Linked DNA regions of Elephas maximus indicus. The protein of the gene in region 1 purifies or fractionates together with the protein of each later gene. This does not show direct contact. Links are inferred from orthologs where the notes say so. Each region holds a gene or a part of one and is shown on either strand. Other genes may lie near its edges.

What was found. Proteins that work in one complex are often made in the same cells at the same time.
Region 2: the proteins of ANKRD17 (region 1) and HOXB6 purify together in Homo sapiens (co-immunoprecipitation; 3 studies listed by BioGRID and IntAct, with this or other methods). This does not show direct contact. The link is inferred for Elephas maximus indicus from reciprocal best matches to the Homo sapiens genes ANKRD17 and HOXB6.

The regions. Positions count from the first base shown.
Region 1 is NC_064823.1:84,411,429-84,419,421, forward strand, and holds the start of ANKRD17 (ankyrin repeat domain-containing protein 17), read left to right. Parts: upstream 1-4,897; 5' UTR 4,898-5,101; coding exon 5,102-5,473; intron 5,474-7,993. Other genes in the region: uncharacterized protein LOC126076716, read right to left, coding at 4,553-4,789.
Region 2 is NC_064837.1:44,923,339-44,930,925, forward strand, and holds HOXB6 (homeobox protein Hox-B6), read left to right. Parts: upstream 1-4,574; 5' UTR 4,575-4,940; coding exon 4,941-5,355; intron 5,356-6,374; coding exon 6,375-6,634; 3' UTR 6,635-7,262; downstream 7,263-7,587. UniProt on the Homo sapiens protein: Sequence-specific transcription factor which is part of a developmental regulatory system that provides cells with specific positional identities on the anterior-posterior axis.

The DNA of each region.
Region 1 (7,993 bases):
TGATTTAGTTCTTTGCCTCATGCTAGTTTCTCTCTAAACTTTATTACAGCCATCTTGAAGCCATCTGAAACAATGGACTTGGTTAGGAAGACCAAACCCTTGATCTGATCTTTGTTGCAGGACTAAATCATAAGGAAACTGTACTCAAGGTCTCTTCCAGTTCCATTTTTACTGTCTGAGGTCTAGAAAGTCAGCTTTTCCAACTCTTCCAGTTGCACATATCCCTGCACACTTTCTATTCCCTTTCATTTCTGCCAATTATTTCCTGAGCTTAGCTCTTACTTGTAAAACTTGGTTAAAAGTAAAATGTAAAAAGCAACACACACCATTACTTTGACTATTTTTCGACCATTTCCTCTAAAGCTACAGTGTCAGCAGATATGTGGTCTGCTTTTCAATAATCACGGGTGATAGTTTTACAATTACTTTGCCCCTACAATACATGGGCTTCTTTCCTCCACCCTCAATCTAAGTTTCCCCATCACCTGTTGAATCATTATCAAGCCAATGCCAAATATTTTAGGTTATTTTCTTAGCAGTACCCAACTTCCTGTACCAACTTCTGGATTAGTCGTGGTCATTCTAGCTCCTGTAACAGATAAAGTTCTCAAATTTCAATTTTTCTCTTTCACGAGGAGTCCAAAAAAGGGTGCTTCTAATTGGTGGGTAGCTCTCTTCCAAGTAGTGATTCAGCCACCATGCTCATTCTCTCATCCGACTCTAGCATCGTCAACATATACTTTACAAGGTCACTGTGCTCACTGGTGTGCAAAGAGCTGGAGATAGAAAACCAAAAGGGAAGAACACACTTGGCCTTTCTCAAGCTGAAAGAACTGAAGAAAAAATTCAAGCCTTGAGTTCCAATAGTGAAGGATTCTATGGGGAAAATATTAAATGACGCAGGAAGCATCAAAAGAAGATGGAAGGAATACACAGTCATTATACCAAAAAGAAATAGTCAACCTTCAACCATTTCAAAAGGTAGCATATGATGGTATCAAAGGAAGAAGTCCAAGCTGCATTGAAGGCATTGATGAAAAACAAGGCTCCAGGAATTGACGGAATATCACTTGAGATGTTCCAACAAACAGATGTAGCACTGGAGGTGCTCACTCGTCTATGCCAAGAAATATGGAAGACAGCTTCCTGGCCAACTGACTGGAAAAGATCCATATTTATGCATATTCCCAAGAAAGGTGATCCAACTGAATGTGGAAATTATAGAACAATATCATTATTATCACACACAAGCAAAATTTTGCTGAAGATCATTCAAAAACGGCTGCAGCAGTATATCGACAGGGAACTGCCAGAAATTCAGGCTGGTTTCAGAAGAGGACATGGAACCAGGGATATCATTGGTGATGTCAGATGGATCCTGGCTGAAAGGAGAGAATACCAGAAGGATGTTTACCTGTGTTTTATTGACTATGCAAAGGCATTCGACTCTGTGGATCACAGCAATTTATGGATAAGATTTCGAAGAATGTGAATTCCAGAACACTTAATTGTGCTCATGAGGAACCTTTACATAGATCAAGAGGCAGTTGTTCGAATGGAACAAGGGTATACTGATTGGTTTAAAGTTAGGAAAGGTGCGTGTCAGGGTTGTATCGTTTCACCATACCTATTCAATCTGTATGCTGAACAAATCATCCGAGAAGCTGGACTATATGAAGAACAGGGCATCAGGATTGGAGGAAGACTCATTAACAACTGGTGTTATGCAGGGACACAACCTTGCTTGCTGAAAGTGAAAAGGACTTGAAGCACTTACTAATGAAGATCAAAGACCACAGCATTCAGTATGGATTGCACCTCAACATAAAGAAAACAAAAATCCTCACAACTGGACCAATGAGAAATATCATGATAAACGGAGAAAAGATTGAAGTGGTCAAGGATTTCGTTTTACTTGGATCTACAATCAGCAGCCACGGAAGCAGCAGTCAAGAAATCAAACAACGCATTGCACTGGGTAAATCTGCAGCAAAGGACCTCTTTAAAGTGTTGAAGAGCAAAGATGTCACTTTGAAGACTAAGGTGCACCTGACCCAAGCCATGGTATTTTCAATCACACCATAGGTATGTGAAAGCTGGACACTGAATAAGGAAGACGGAAGAAGAACTGATGCCTTTGAATTGCTGTGTTGGTGAAGAATATTGAATTATACCATGGATTGCCAAAAGAAGGAACAAATCTGTCTTGGAAGAAGTACAACCAGAATTCTCCTTAGATACAAGGATGTCGAGACTGCATCTTACATACTTTGGACATGTTGTCAGGAGGGATCAGTCCCTGGAGAAAGACATTGTGCTTGGCAAAGTACAGATCAGTGGAAAAGAGGAAGACCTTCAACGTGGTAGACTGACATGGTGGCTGCAACAACGAGCTCAAGCATAACGACGATTGTGAGGATGGCACAGGACAGGGCAGTGTTTCGTTCTGTTGTGCATGGGGTCACCATGAGTTGGAAGTGACTCGAGGGCACCTAACAACAACAACATGCTCAATGGTATCAAGCTGATGAGGAAAGAGTAAGGAAAATCCTGTATGGGAGGAGTTTATGAAGTCTGAAAATGAGCATATCACTTTTGTTTACATTCCATTGGGTAGAACTCAATCATGTGGCCATACCTAATTGTAAGGAAAGCTGGGGAATTTAGTCTAACTATATGTGTAAAAGCGTCCATTAATGAATCAGAAATGACTTCATGGCAATGGGTTTGGTATATGCATAAGAATCAGAACTTATTTTCTTCTGAGTAATGCGGTTACTTGAAATAGAGCCTTTCTGATAGAGTGATAGCTACAAAAGTTAGACTGCAGAGGGTTGGTGGGTGAATTTCAGATAATAAGTTAGAAACATAAACTGTAGTATACTCTCTAAAGATGTTTGATCGTGAAGGAAAGGACATAGAGTGAATGTTACAGAGAGATAACGAACCAGAAATGTGGAGAACTGTAGAAAGGAAAAGATAATTAACGGAGGAGAAAGAGATTAGAACTAGAGTATGGATGTAGAGTTAATCTTGGTTAAGAGGAGGGAATTTCTCATTCTTCTGATACTGCAGAAAAGAAAGATCTGGAAGCATTTCGTTTCTAACATTTGGAAAATTGAAGTTTTGTGCCGAACAGTTTCAATCTTCTCTGAAGTTGGAAGTAAAGTGATATATAATAAAATGAGGCTGAGATTTAAAGACTGTAAAAAGTATTCTGGTAGAACAGGAGAAAAGGGTGCTTAAGGATATACAAAGTAGGAGGGAGGGATCAAGCTGAGGTTATAGAAGATATAAATCTGTAATGGTAAGATACACAAAGTGGTGTACTGTTATACACTGGAACTCAGCAAGTACTGAAGGAGAGGAACAGGCAGATGGCTAGCACTTTGTATGCTTATTTACGATAGCGCTTATTACACTATAAAGTCTCTGAATGCAGAGACTTTGATTTCCTAAGTACTTGACACACAGTAGGCACATGATCAATTTTTGCTTGAATGAATTGATTCAATCATTGCCAATTCTGCCATGGTACTCTGTAGAGTACTGGCAGCTACCCACATTTCATGTGGTATGCCAATGCTAGAAGAAAAAAAAATGCTAAAAATTTCAGGCACACTCAGCTAAACTTAGCATTCTTAAAATGGCAACTATGTCAACTGAGACATACTTTATCTTTGTTTCTTAGCCAGTACATCTGCTTTTGATGTTTGCTTCTTTTTCCTTATGCCACTGTGCTCATTCTAGACCAAAAAGGAGTAACTGAGTTCAATACACTATCATTTCAAAAATCCTAGAAGTCCTTCGGACACCTAAAAATGAACTCACAAACCCCATCTCAATACTTCTTCCAAGAGATGTACAGAGGCAAGGATGATTATTTAAGACGACGACTTCACAGATAAATGTTGAACTGCAAGAGCTAAATCAGGGTCATGCAGTAAACCGTATCCAAAGTGTGGCACACATCCCTCTTTTCCTCTGAGACCACCTTCCCCCACCCCCCCACCCCCCCGCAGCAGCGGTAACAGCGGTGGTGGTGGAGGAGGAGGTGGCAGCGGCAACACAAGCAGCAACAGCAGCAAGAAAGAAGAGGAAGATCACGAGGATCTGTAGTGATCTTGGACATCTCATCCACCTCCTTCATATTACACAAGAGGAAACTCAGGTTCAGGAAGTCTAACATCCAAAGACTTAAACGTTAAGCAAAGAAGCCTCTTTCCTTTACAAGACGCTATCTCTCAAAATCCAAAATCCTAATTCGTGATTTGGAGGCCGAAACAAACTGCCAAGAATTAAATGAAAAGTATGTACAGCAGCTCAGAATGAGGCTCCGCCTCCCGGATCTGGCCGATCCCGCCTCCAGTTAACAAAGCGCTCGGACTGCGCTGCAGCACCGGCTTCCCACACAGCCCGGGGCCCGCTCCTCTCCAACTTCCCCGCCCGCCCTACTCACGACAGCACTACCCTCCCACGGAGGCCCTCGAAATCTCACTTTCGCCTTTCGGCCACCGCGCGCCACCACTCAGGCGACGGCTGATGGCGTCACCTGCACTTCCGCCTGCGGGTGCGTTCTAGTCGCAAGCGAGGAAGGAAAAAGGGAGGGCTGAAAAGCTGTGTGTGGGGGAAGCAGCGAGGGAAGAGATGCAATCCACGCGCTCGCGGGCGCTACGGCAGTAACATCGGCCCCCTCTGTCCCCGCCGTCCCCCCATCGGAAGCCCCCCTAGGCACACTTCCCCTGCCTCTTTCCAGTCTCTCCTTCTCTGGGTCTCTCGACACCCACATCTGCCTCTACGGGCTCCCCCTCCCTGCTCCCCCAACCTTTGCTCCCTCACGCTCCCTCCCTCCCATCGTCAGGCTCCCCACCCTTAGTATCGCGAGACGAGGTGAGAGCTGGCGGAGCGGCGGCGGCGGCGGCGTTGGCAGGAGCAGCAGCGGCAGCGGTAGCAGCAGCAGTAGCAGTAGCAGTAGAGGTGACCGAGGCGGTGGCGGCAGAGGCGGCACCGAGTGCTGTGTGGGCCCCGGTGCGGCCGAAGTCACGGTAGAGCGTAGCCCCCACACTCCTCCCCCGTCCGCGCCCTCCCTCTTTCCCTGGGGATGGAGAAGGCGACGGTTCCGGCGGCGGCGGCGGCTGAGGGAGAAGGGAGCCCCCCGGCGGTGGTGGCTGTGGCGGGCCCCCCCGCGGTGGCGGCGGAGGTTGGCGGCGGCGGTGGCGGCGGCGGGGCTTGCTCGGCCTCGTCTCCTCGTGGGATGGTGCGAGTCTGCGACCTACTCCTGAAGAAAAAACCGCCGCAGCAGCAACACCACAAGGCCAAACGTAACCGGACTTGCCGGCCCCCCAGCAGCAGCGAAAGCGACAGCGACAACAGCGGCGGCGGTGGAGGCGGAGGAGGAGGAGGCGGCGGCGGCACGAGCAGCAACAACAGCGAGGAAGAAGAGGACGACGACGAGGAAGAGGAGGTTTCCGAGGCAAGGGCCTGGTTTCGGAGGAAGGAGGGAGGAAGGGACTGTAAAGGGTAGGGGCCGAAGGTGGGAGGTATCTGCGGTGGGACCGATTCCTGTGGGTTGATCCTTAAGGCCTGGCCTTTCTAGTGTCCCCATTCTTTCCCCGGCTTTCATCATGAGGCGTGGGAATGTGGGGGAGGGTAGCTGACACGTGGGGGTGGGTGGACCACGGAGTCCACGGAGTTGGTGAATGGCAAATTATCCTGGCATGGTTCACATGCTTAAGGATGGAGGAAACTGTTTAGATTCCCCATTTGCACACCCAGGCTTGGGGGGATCTGACTAGGGCCAGTTCCTGAAGCGGGGGCGGGACCAAAGCTGGAGGGGTAAGATAATAGGTAGATGAGTCTCTTGGGGAAAGATTAGGAGGTTGATAAATTTCTCCCAGTTGTGAGGTGAAGGGAAGCAGTTTTCTGGGGAGGTAAGGTTGTAATGGGCTCAGCTAAGTATTTGTGTATGTGAGAGACACGTGAGAAGCTGTACTTTTCCATATTGTTGTTCTGCTGCAGGTTTTTTTCATAGCTATTGTGGCTGCTGAAGTAACCTTCACTTCTCCATCTCTGAAGGATTTTGGATGACCTGATCTTACATCCATATACAATTATAAATAACTTATAAGGTGGCAAATATATTTTATCCTTATGTGCACGTACATATATATCTTCAAATAATTTCTTAGTGAGGAAGAATTAAACTAGGGCGTTTTGTTTTCCGGATAGTAGGGGACAGCTGAAGAGTCTGCTTTAGAGCCAGAGTTGGTTGTGGTGAGTTGGAATAGGAAGGCCTCTTGGTTTGTCCTAGTGATCTGGTTTCATAATAACTGTTTATTTTTCCTGGGTCCACAGACAGGCGGCGTTACAGGATCTTATTCTTCAAAGGCAGCCATATAACCCAAAAGCTGAGTAAAACATACCATACTGACAGCAAATTAAGAGTTAGCTTTGTTAGCTGCCAGCTCTATTGTAATTCTCTTGTCCACTCCCTGAGATGGAAGCTAAAAAATCTTATCTGGAGAAAGAAGTAGTAACTTAAGGTAGGAGAAGGAAAACAGCTTTAGAGGCTGATTATAAACTTAGTTATACAGGTGAGGACAACTGAATTATGCAGAAGTACCCATTGCCATTTATTCCCTTCCACAAACAGATCTTATTTAGTTTTTTCTGAAAATTGCATTTATTTGATCCTGGGCTCTGTTCAGATAGCTGATAGTCTTTTATATGGGAACATCTTTTAAAGGATTTAAGATTTATCTGTTAGTTGAAGATCAGATTCTCTTTTACCTCAGGCTGGAAGAAGTTACACAGGTAGAGATATAATCACTTCAGTATGTATACCAAAGAAATGGACACTCACTACTATTATTTCCATTTACGTTATTTGAGTCTGAGGATAGATTTGTATTGACATTTTATACTGACCTATTTGGATGTTTCAGGGTAGTGTATTGCTCAGGTTGCATTTGAAACAATGCAGAGAAAGATAGGTCCCATCCTTAAAGCCAATAAAATCTACTGCAGTACTTAGAATCATTCAGAGGTGAGAAAGATGTTAGAGATAATCTAGTCCAACCCCTTTACTTTAAAAAAATGAGGAAACAATGGTTTAGAGGAAACTGATTGTGGAGGGTAGTAGCAGAAGTATTAGCAGTAGTAGTTTTCTGATGGCTCAGGCCAGCACACTTTTTATGATAATTTATGACATTGTGTTCCCCTCCTTCCTTTTCGAAAATAGATGGTGAATTGCAGGGTAACACGGTAGTGCAGCTGTGGGCAAAATAGCGTCCTCCAACATTAAGCTCTGGTTTGGAACAAGATCATGATAGTTGAGTACAGTATTTACTGGAATAGTCTACTGTAAACTTTAGATACGTAGGTAGTTTAGTCCATTGGAATTTGGCCTAATAAGAAAAGCTTTTGGTAGTGTCTTAAAATCGTGTAAAATGGCTTTAAATTTTTAGGTATGTTAATCTTGTGGGTCAGATTTGTTCTGTTTGGAAAATGGGAGTGGAGTATATTGACTAACCAGCTAGGTGTTTGTGTTTAATGTGCTTTGTATTGTCTTCTGTATAGTGGGAAAAACAATGCGTTTGTCATTTGTTATGAAGATGAGTCAGGAGAAATAAGTGTAATAAAGTACAACTATGAAAAATAATCTATACAGGTACATGGTGAGAGATGACCAGACAAAGGGTACAGTGTTTCTCTCTACACCTGCTTCCATCCTTTGACCAAAATAAGTAAACCCCGCAGTCACTGTACACTATAAGTTAAATGGGTGAATTTAAAGTATGCAATACTTTTAATTGTCTTTTTACTGCATGTTAGCAGAAATTTAACTTTCTAGAACTAGGAAATCTTGTGGCTAATGCACGTAGTATTTAAGGCTTTTTTGTAGTTCTTCATTGTTACAGGCTACACAATTAAAAAGATGTGGATAACATGATCCTTGATTATCCTTCCGATCAAAAGGTTAAAAGGAAATATG
Region 2 (7,587 bases), on another chromosome or scaffold:
CAGGTACAGGGCATTCAGTCTCGGGATTCCGGTTTCCCCAGGATTGCGGGGTGCCGGGTGTGTGTACAGGGTTATTGGTCTTTCATTGCAGAGGTGGGCGGAGAGGGACGCAGCCACTTGTAGCGCGGGAGGGGGACCTGGGGGCCCAGGTGGATGCCTTCCTCGCTGGCTGGGACTGGGCGCCTCGAGGGATCCCTTGGCTGCGTAGCGAGAGAAGTTCTCGGCTAGCACCCACGGCTCTCAGGCCTATTCTCAAAGGACAAATTTCCCAAACCCACCCAGACTAAAGGTCTTTTTCTCCTGTAGTCTTGGTGGGTTATAAATCGTCTCTTAGACAGTTTGCTCTCTGACCCAAATTATGCGGTTTGCTGCCATCTACTGTCCGTGCCGAGACACGCGGCTTCGGCGCTGCAAACCCGCGACGCTGCGCGAGTGGCGCCCGCCGCCTGGAGCCGGTGCCGGGCAGGTTTGGCGGATTACGGGGATTTCGGGGCCAGAGCGATGCTTTCCGCTGCATCTTGCTTCCTGGCCGACTGGGTGCGCATTGGAGTACAGGCACCCCCACCTCCATCCCAGCTCCAAACCTGGCAGGGGAAGCGGCTTTTTCTGGGACACATTTAAAAAGGTCTAATACAACATCCAGCGGGCGCGGGGTCCTGAACCAAAGCGTTGGGGATAAGAGTGGCAAGTCCCCCCACCTCCACCCCCATGGGCGCGAGAGGGGGTCAGGCCGCTGGGGAGATCCGAGGCCAAGGCTGTTCAAGGTTTATTTGGTTTTCTTCTCGGCCAAGGGAAGGGGCCGGCAGGGGAGGCGCCGGCCCGGCAGTTCCACTTGGTTGTCAAAAGACAAACCAGGTCTGTGTTCTCCCTGTTGGCTGGCGGGTCTTGCCAGTTACTTGGCTGGTGGGTCCTTGGTGAAGGAATTGAACCGAGTGTTCTGGAAACTGTTGGTATCTGCGAGTGAGTGTCCGGCCCCTCCCCCATTCCAGATCGTTTCCAGCGAAATCGACACAAATACACTTATGGGAAAAAATTGGGAGTGAGAGTGAGGAGAAATTATTCAGGAACCAAACCATTGCAATTTCCGTTCCTGCCGGACCCCTCACACTCACTTAACCTGACTGCTTTCGCAGAGGGGGTGGTGAGCGCGGGAATACCCGCCTGTGTGCCGCGTTTGAATATTGGCCCCTGTCTCACGGGTTACTGATTAGCTCGGGCTTTCAAGCCGCAAGACCAAGCTCTGGCTGCTCCTTTCAAGGTGCAGTGGCTCAGGTCCCGGGCGGGGGCTTCAGGAGATTGCCTGCGGTGCCAGGCAGGCTAAGGTGTTACAAGGGTCTGGCCGGAGCTAGAGATACTCCCAAGACCCAGGAGCTGACAGTGCTGGGGGCAAGAGCAGCGGCTTCGGCCCTCCGCCCGCGGCCGCTCCTTGAGTCTGGGCCGCAGGAGCAGCCCTTTCAGCTTTTCCGTGGTGGGAATGACTTTATAGCAGTTAGAAGACCGGCCCAGGGAGGCGCCCTGCGGGTGGCCCCGAGGGAGCCTGCCAGAAAGGACTTGGGCCCCTCTGAGGTGATTTCTTGTGGACAATCAGCAGGACGGTGGGGAGGGGTAACCCAGCTGGTACAGAGGTTTGAAACACTTCAGGGCTTTTAAGGTGCCCATGGACCTAGGGGGAGAGGACAGGGTGAGTGGGCCTATAGCCACCGCCTGCTCCTCCCTGAAGATCTGAGATGCTGCCGCCTATTTGCATAATGGAAATAGGATCTTTGTACAGCTCTTTCCATGGGCCTTTTTTAAGGCGAAGTATCCCATCCAAAGAGCATCCTAACCTTTAAGAGAGGCACACTGTTCCCCCCTGGGAACATTTATGTTCCCCAAACCAGAGAATCAGAATTCGGGGAGGATTGGGTTGATGGGTTTTAATCTCCCCACCCCAGCCGGAGTTGGGGTGGGGTGGAGAAGGGACCACAACCCAAAGAGCTTGGGGGGGGGGCTTTGTAGGCCAGAGAAAATGGGAAGGCTGGAAATGTCTCTACCCACCCCCCCCCCCAACTACTTACAGGCAAATATACCTCCCTGTGGTTACCCGGACAGGAGAATTTTACTCCTGAGCCGAACACAACTAAAGAGACATTTCCCTGGGAGCTGGAATGTGTATGGGCCACACAGGACTTGCAGCACAGAAAATTACAATTATAAATCCTGCCTGTGGGCTATCTATACAATCCTTCTGTTGTGTACTCAAGAATTGGTATGCATTTATATTCACTTCTCCATTCACACACTTCCTAGTCAAGGCAGGGAGAGGCTCCCCAGCGGGGCAGACGGCAGTGGCCACTGTGTATTTACATATTCCTCTGCGGAGACAGACTGACTGCGGTGGACCGAACCACAGGCAGATTCGTAGAGATCTGGCTCCAGAAGCCAGGCGGCCTCTGGCTGGGCCCTGCCCGCCTGCTCTTTCTCCCAAACAAACGGATCAGACGAATAAACGCTCATAAATACCTCTGGGCTTAGATAAGAGCGATGAGGCGCTATTTCCTTTCATGCCCGACTCCAGGCGCCTTAGCCCTGCCTACGCGGCTCCATCTCGCGACAGGCAACCTGCAGAGGTGAGGTTAATTTGGGGGCTGCGACTCTTAGGATAAGGCTATTATTTTTGTGCTTATACCACAAGGGAAGGTCCCCTCCCGCAAATATATATTATATTACTTTGCCCAGAGCCCACAGGGAAGCCCATAACTTCTAGTCCTAGGATGGGGGCATTGTGGCCAGGGAGGAGGCAGGCAGGACTGAGGCTCAGAGCCCAGTTTCAGTGGCAGAGAGGGGTGGGGGGCCGTGGGGGAGGGGGGACATACACCGAGGCACTTGCTCCCCCTGCCCAAATGGCCCCTATTCCTCCCTAGGAGTGGGCCCAAGCACAGCTAGATTGGAGCAGTTATGCTTCTCCATCGTTAGAGGGTTTGGGTTTCTTTTCTTAAATCCTCATCAAAACCCCCAAAGCCAGTATTAAGGAGTGGTGGAGGGCCACCCAGGGATGGCCACTTGGCCATGAAGTTGCAGCCTAGAAGTTGCCCTGAGTTCAGGGAGCCCTGGAAACCGCTTTGCAGTCAACCGAGTCCCCATTCTTGGTCTCCCCAACCTCAGTCCTCTACCACCTTCCCTAGTGTCTTGTGCCATCTTTGGCGGGCAGAGTTGGCCCACAAAAAGGAGCCCAAAGAACTAGGCAGCGGAGGGGCAGTCTAGCCCAGCAGTGGACTTTGCCCCACACCTTGCCACTTTCCTGTCCCCAGGTCATAAGCCTGTCACCCTTCACTGCCAGGTTTCTGCATTCATATTAGAATGTTGAGAGTGCATCATGGCCCAGACCCCCCACCTGGCCTCAATGCCCATTTTCCTTGGGTGAGAGAGAGAGCCAGGGACACACACTCTCTCTCACCTCTAAGCTTGTAGAGCAGCAAATCTGGTGATACAAACTTGGTGATACAAACAGGGTGTGGGAGGGAATTGTAGAGATGCTGAGAGGCAGACAGAAGGATTGTAAATGTCTGGAGAGGGGATTCAGGCTGATAGTTGGTGGCTGCCTGCCGAGTCCCCCGGGAGAAATATGACTCCTCCCTCCTTATAAAACTAAACCAAAACTAAGTCTTAGGAAAGAATTGATTTTAAAAAGAACTTCCAGCTTCTAGAGAGACCTGGAAAAGGGGTGAGGGCTACTTTCCTCCCAGTGGTGTCTGATTGCCTGAGATATTGGGAGGATTTGAAGACCTGGAATTGAAGGAGCAGCAATTTCTTTCCTGTACCCAGACTTGTGGGGACAGTCTTGATTCCTAAGACTCTGTAGCCCAGAATATTCCCATGTCATTTGGGGTAAGGAGTGAGGGGTGGAGTGAGGGTAGAAGGCAGAATAGAGATCAAATAAATAAAGGCATCTCACTCCTCCTCTCCCTAGCCCCAAGTGGGGAGAATGCCTAGTCCCTTTCCCCAGTACCCTTGCCCCTGATGACAGCAGCGGGATGTCTTGGGCAGCGACAGCCCCATCTGAAGGCATCCAAAAGGCTCCTAGTCTTGCAGCAGACCCAGAGAGGGCAGCTTGGGCTCAGACCCTCCTTCCATTTCCCAGTCTTCTGGGCAGGGGGCTCTGGCCTGTCTCCCTCAAATCATAAGAGTTATGGAAGCAGGAATGATAATAAATCTGGGCTTGGAGAAGAGAGAGCAGATCTGATAAACAAGGCGGGGGGGGGGGGGACAAGATTTCCAAAACCTGAAACGAAGCGTATTTCTTCTTCTCTCTCTTTCCGAAAGCGATGCTAATTAGACAGCGGAGAACTCTTCTGCCTTTTACCAACACTAAACCCTAGAAACAAACCTGTATCTCGCTCTGGAGGAGACTGGGGACATTTACCCAATCCTACTTGGAGGGAACGGCCCCAAGCAACGCAGGGGTTAACTTTTCTGAAAACACAATGAACTTTTTCCTATCCTGCGTGTGTGTGTGTGTGGAGGGGGGGGGAGGCATATATTTATTTAATCACTGGGGGATGGGGTGGTCTCGATCCAAATGCTTCCTCCTCCCTCAAACGCACAGACGCCTCTTTCGCACATCCTACGTAGGTGGAACAGGACGCGTTGTGTTGTTGAGGGAGAGAGAGAGAAAAGAGAAGGAGAAGAAGGAAGAAAAAAAGGTTGATAGGTTTGTGCGCGGGTCCCTCGTGCTGGCTGCGCTCCTCCTGGGTGCTATTTGACAATTCCTGCCTCTGCCATTGGTCAGTGTTGGATCAGATGGTTGTATTTCCTTCTGGCCCTCACTGGCACCTCGCCATCCCCCCTCAGCTAAAACCCAATCTCGGATATACTACTAATAGGCGCGGCGCTCGGACTATAAAACACAACAAATCATAAACCCGGCGGAGCAGCAGCGGCCGCGCGCGCCTCCCCTCCCAATGAGTTCCTATTTCGTGAACTCCACCTTCCCAGTCACTCTGGCCAGCGGGCAGGAGTCCTTCCTGGGCCAGCTACCGCTCTACTCGTCTGGCTATGCAGATCCGCTGAGGCACTACCCCACGCCCTATGGGCCGGGGCCGGGCCAGGACAAGGGCTTTGCGGCTTCCTCCTACTACCCGCCGGCCGGCGGCGGCTATGGCCGCGCGGCGCCCTGCGACTACGGGCCGGCGCCGGCCTTCTACCGCGAGAAGGAGTCGGCCTGCGCACTCTCGGGCGCCGACGAGCAGCCCCCGTTCCACCCTGAGCCGCGGAAGTCGGACTGCGCGCAGGACAAGAGCGTGTTCGGCGAGACAGAGGAGCAGAAGTGCTCCGCTCCGGTCTACCCCTGGATGCAGCGGATGAATTCGTGCAATAGTGAGTGAGACTGCCCGCCGCCGCCCGGACCCGCGGGCCCTCACCCCCGGGACAGTACTAGCCAGGTCCCTTTCACTTCCCCACAGGCTGCCGGTGGGCATCTCAGTTAGGATAGGGGAAGGTGGGCGCCTGCACCGGGTTTTGCACTCTGTCTTCTCGCCCCTCAGGAGTTAAAAAGTTTGCAAAGTCCCAGCTGGACTCAGAGCCAGGAGGAGCAGTGGGCTCTCCCAGAGCGCCAGGCCAGAACGGGGATGCCGGGTCAGCAAAGGGGGCCCGGGCCACAGCCATTGGATTTGCTTTCCTTTGCGCCCCCAGACCCTAGTCGAGTCCCCCACCCAAGGACCGCTCCATTAGAAACGGCGTGCGTCATGCGGGGGGGGCGGCGTGACGCCGGCAAGGGAGAGTGGAGTCTGTCCCAGACTGTTTCCCTGGGGGTGGGAGGCTGGGGAAAGATGAGGCACCAGGAAAGGGGGGTAACTAGAGGAAGGAGGGAGAAGAGGAGGAAGGACGAGAGCGGGCAGTGGGGGACAGAGGGGGAAACAGGCGCCTGGGTTTCAGGTTGGATTATTTGTTCGCCTTAAGTCCCAAATTGATGTCCATTAGCGCGACACCAAAGTGAGGAGCCGTTAATGCTGCCTATGGATCGATCCACGTCATTACAGATTAAGGGCCGGAATCTATCACAGCGCGGGCGGGGGAGAGCTAGACAGATGGAAAGGGAAGGAAAGGAAAGATGGGGCTAGGAAGACACACACCTGGCCAGCGTCTTCCCAGCCCCTCCCCCTAGGCTCAGGTGGGAGTTCAAACCGCTCCTCCACCGAAAGTCTAGACAGGGAGGGCGTAGGCCTGGGACACCCCCAGGGAACCTGGAGGAGGCGCTGGAGGATTGGGGGAGGGGGCAGGGACCAGGAGCGTGGAGGGCATGCCGGGACAGGCTGGAGTCCACGTTTGAGGGTCCATGGGGGAGGGGGTTCCGGCCCGGTGATCCCAGGCCTCAGCATCTCCTCTTTGCGTAACAGGTTCCTCCTTTGGGCCCAGCGGCCGGCGAGGCCGCCAGACCTACACGCGGTACCAGACGCTGGAGCTGGAGAAGGAATTTCACTACAATCGCTACCTGACGCGGCGGCGGCGCATCGAGATCGCGCACGCCCTGTGCCTGACAGAGAGGCAGATTAAGATCTGGTTCCAGAATCGGCGCATGAAGTGGAAAAAGGAGAGCAAACTGCTCAGCGCGTCTCAGCTCAGTGCCGAGGAGGAAGAAGAAAAACCCGCCGAGTGAAGGCGCTGGATATGGAGGGGTGACGCGAAGGGAGAGGCACTTAGGGAGCCCACGGCGTCGGAGAGTCCCGAGGACGCTCTGCAGGCGGGGGAGCCCGGGGGTTTGCTTCCCCGCGCCACAACCGGCGGGCCCAGAGCTCTCCCGGACGCCCCCGCCCACAGAAGTCCCGCCCAGGCGCTCGGAGGTCGCGCTTCCCCAGCACACCCCGCACCCGGCGCCCCCTGCCTCCCCGCGGAGACCGCCGCGGCCGAATCTGGCACCCCTCGTGAGAACCAAGGACCTGATTCACTTGATGTTTCCTGGAAGCAGAGCAAAATGCTCTTGTCCATGTCGCGTCTCCTCATGTCGTCTATGTCCCCCGTGCACGGTTCAATGGTAGATTCGCTGTCCCCTCAGCGGGGCCTCGAAGACTCCCTGACCCCAGACCTGTTGTTTCTCCCACCCCCTCCCCAAAGCCACTGGAAGGAGCACATACTACCTAGAAGTAAGAAGAGGAGCCTCAGAAGAAAACAAAGTTCTATTTTATTAATTTTCTATGTGTTGTGTTTGTAGTCTTGTCTTAGCTCTGGACGTGAAATACTTCGGTAATAATATTAATATTATTAATAATGATAATAATAATAATAAAGACATGAAAACTCGCCGTTCAGTCATCTCCGCTCCTCCCCTGCCACTTTTTTCTCCCTCCTCCCCCCCGCCCAGCCACCCTATCTGCCCTGTGCCGGAAACTCCGTAGCAGAGGCGGGAGCCCTGGTCAGCCCCTAGGCCTCCCTAGCGGGCCGGCTGGACAAGACTCGGAAGTTACAGCTGAGATAAAGGCAGGAGCGGTCCCGCTCCGGCCCCATCGCCGCGCCTTGGCGGTGCGCAGGCTAGGAACGGCCTCTCCCGGTGCAGACTTGGGGGACGACGGGGGCCGTTTCCCTCGTATTCTCTAGCTTTTCCTCGTTTGTCCG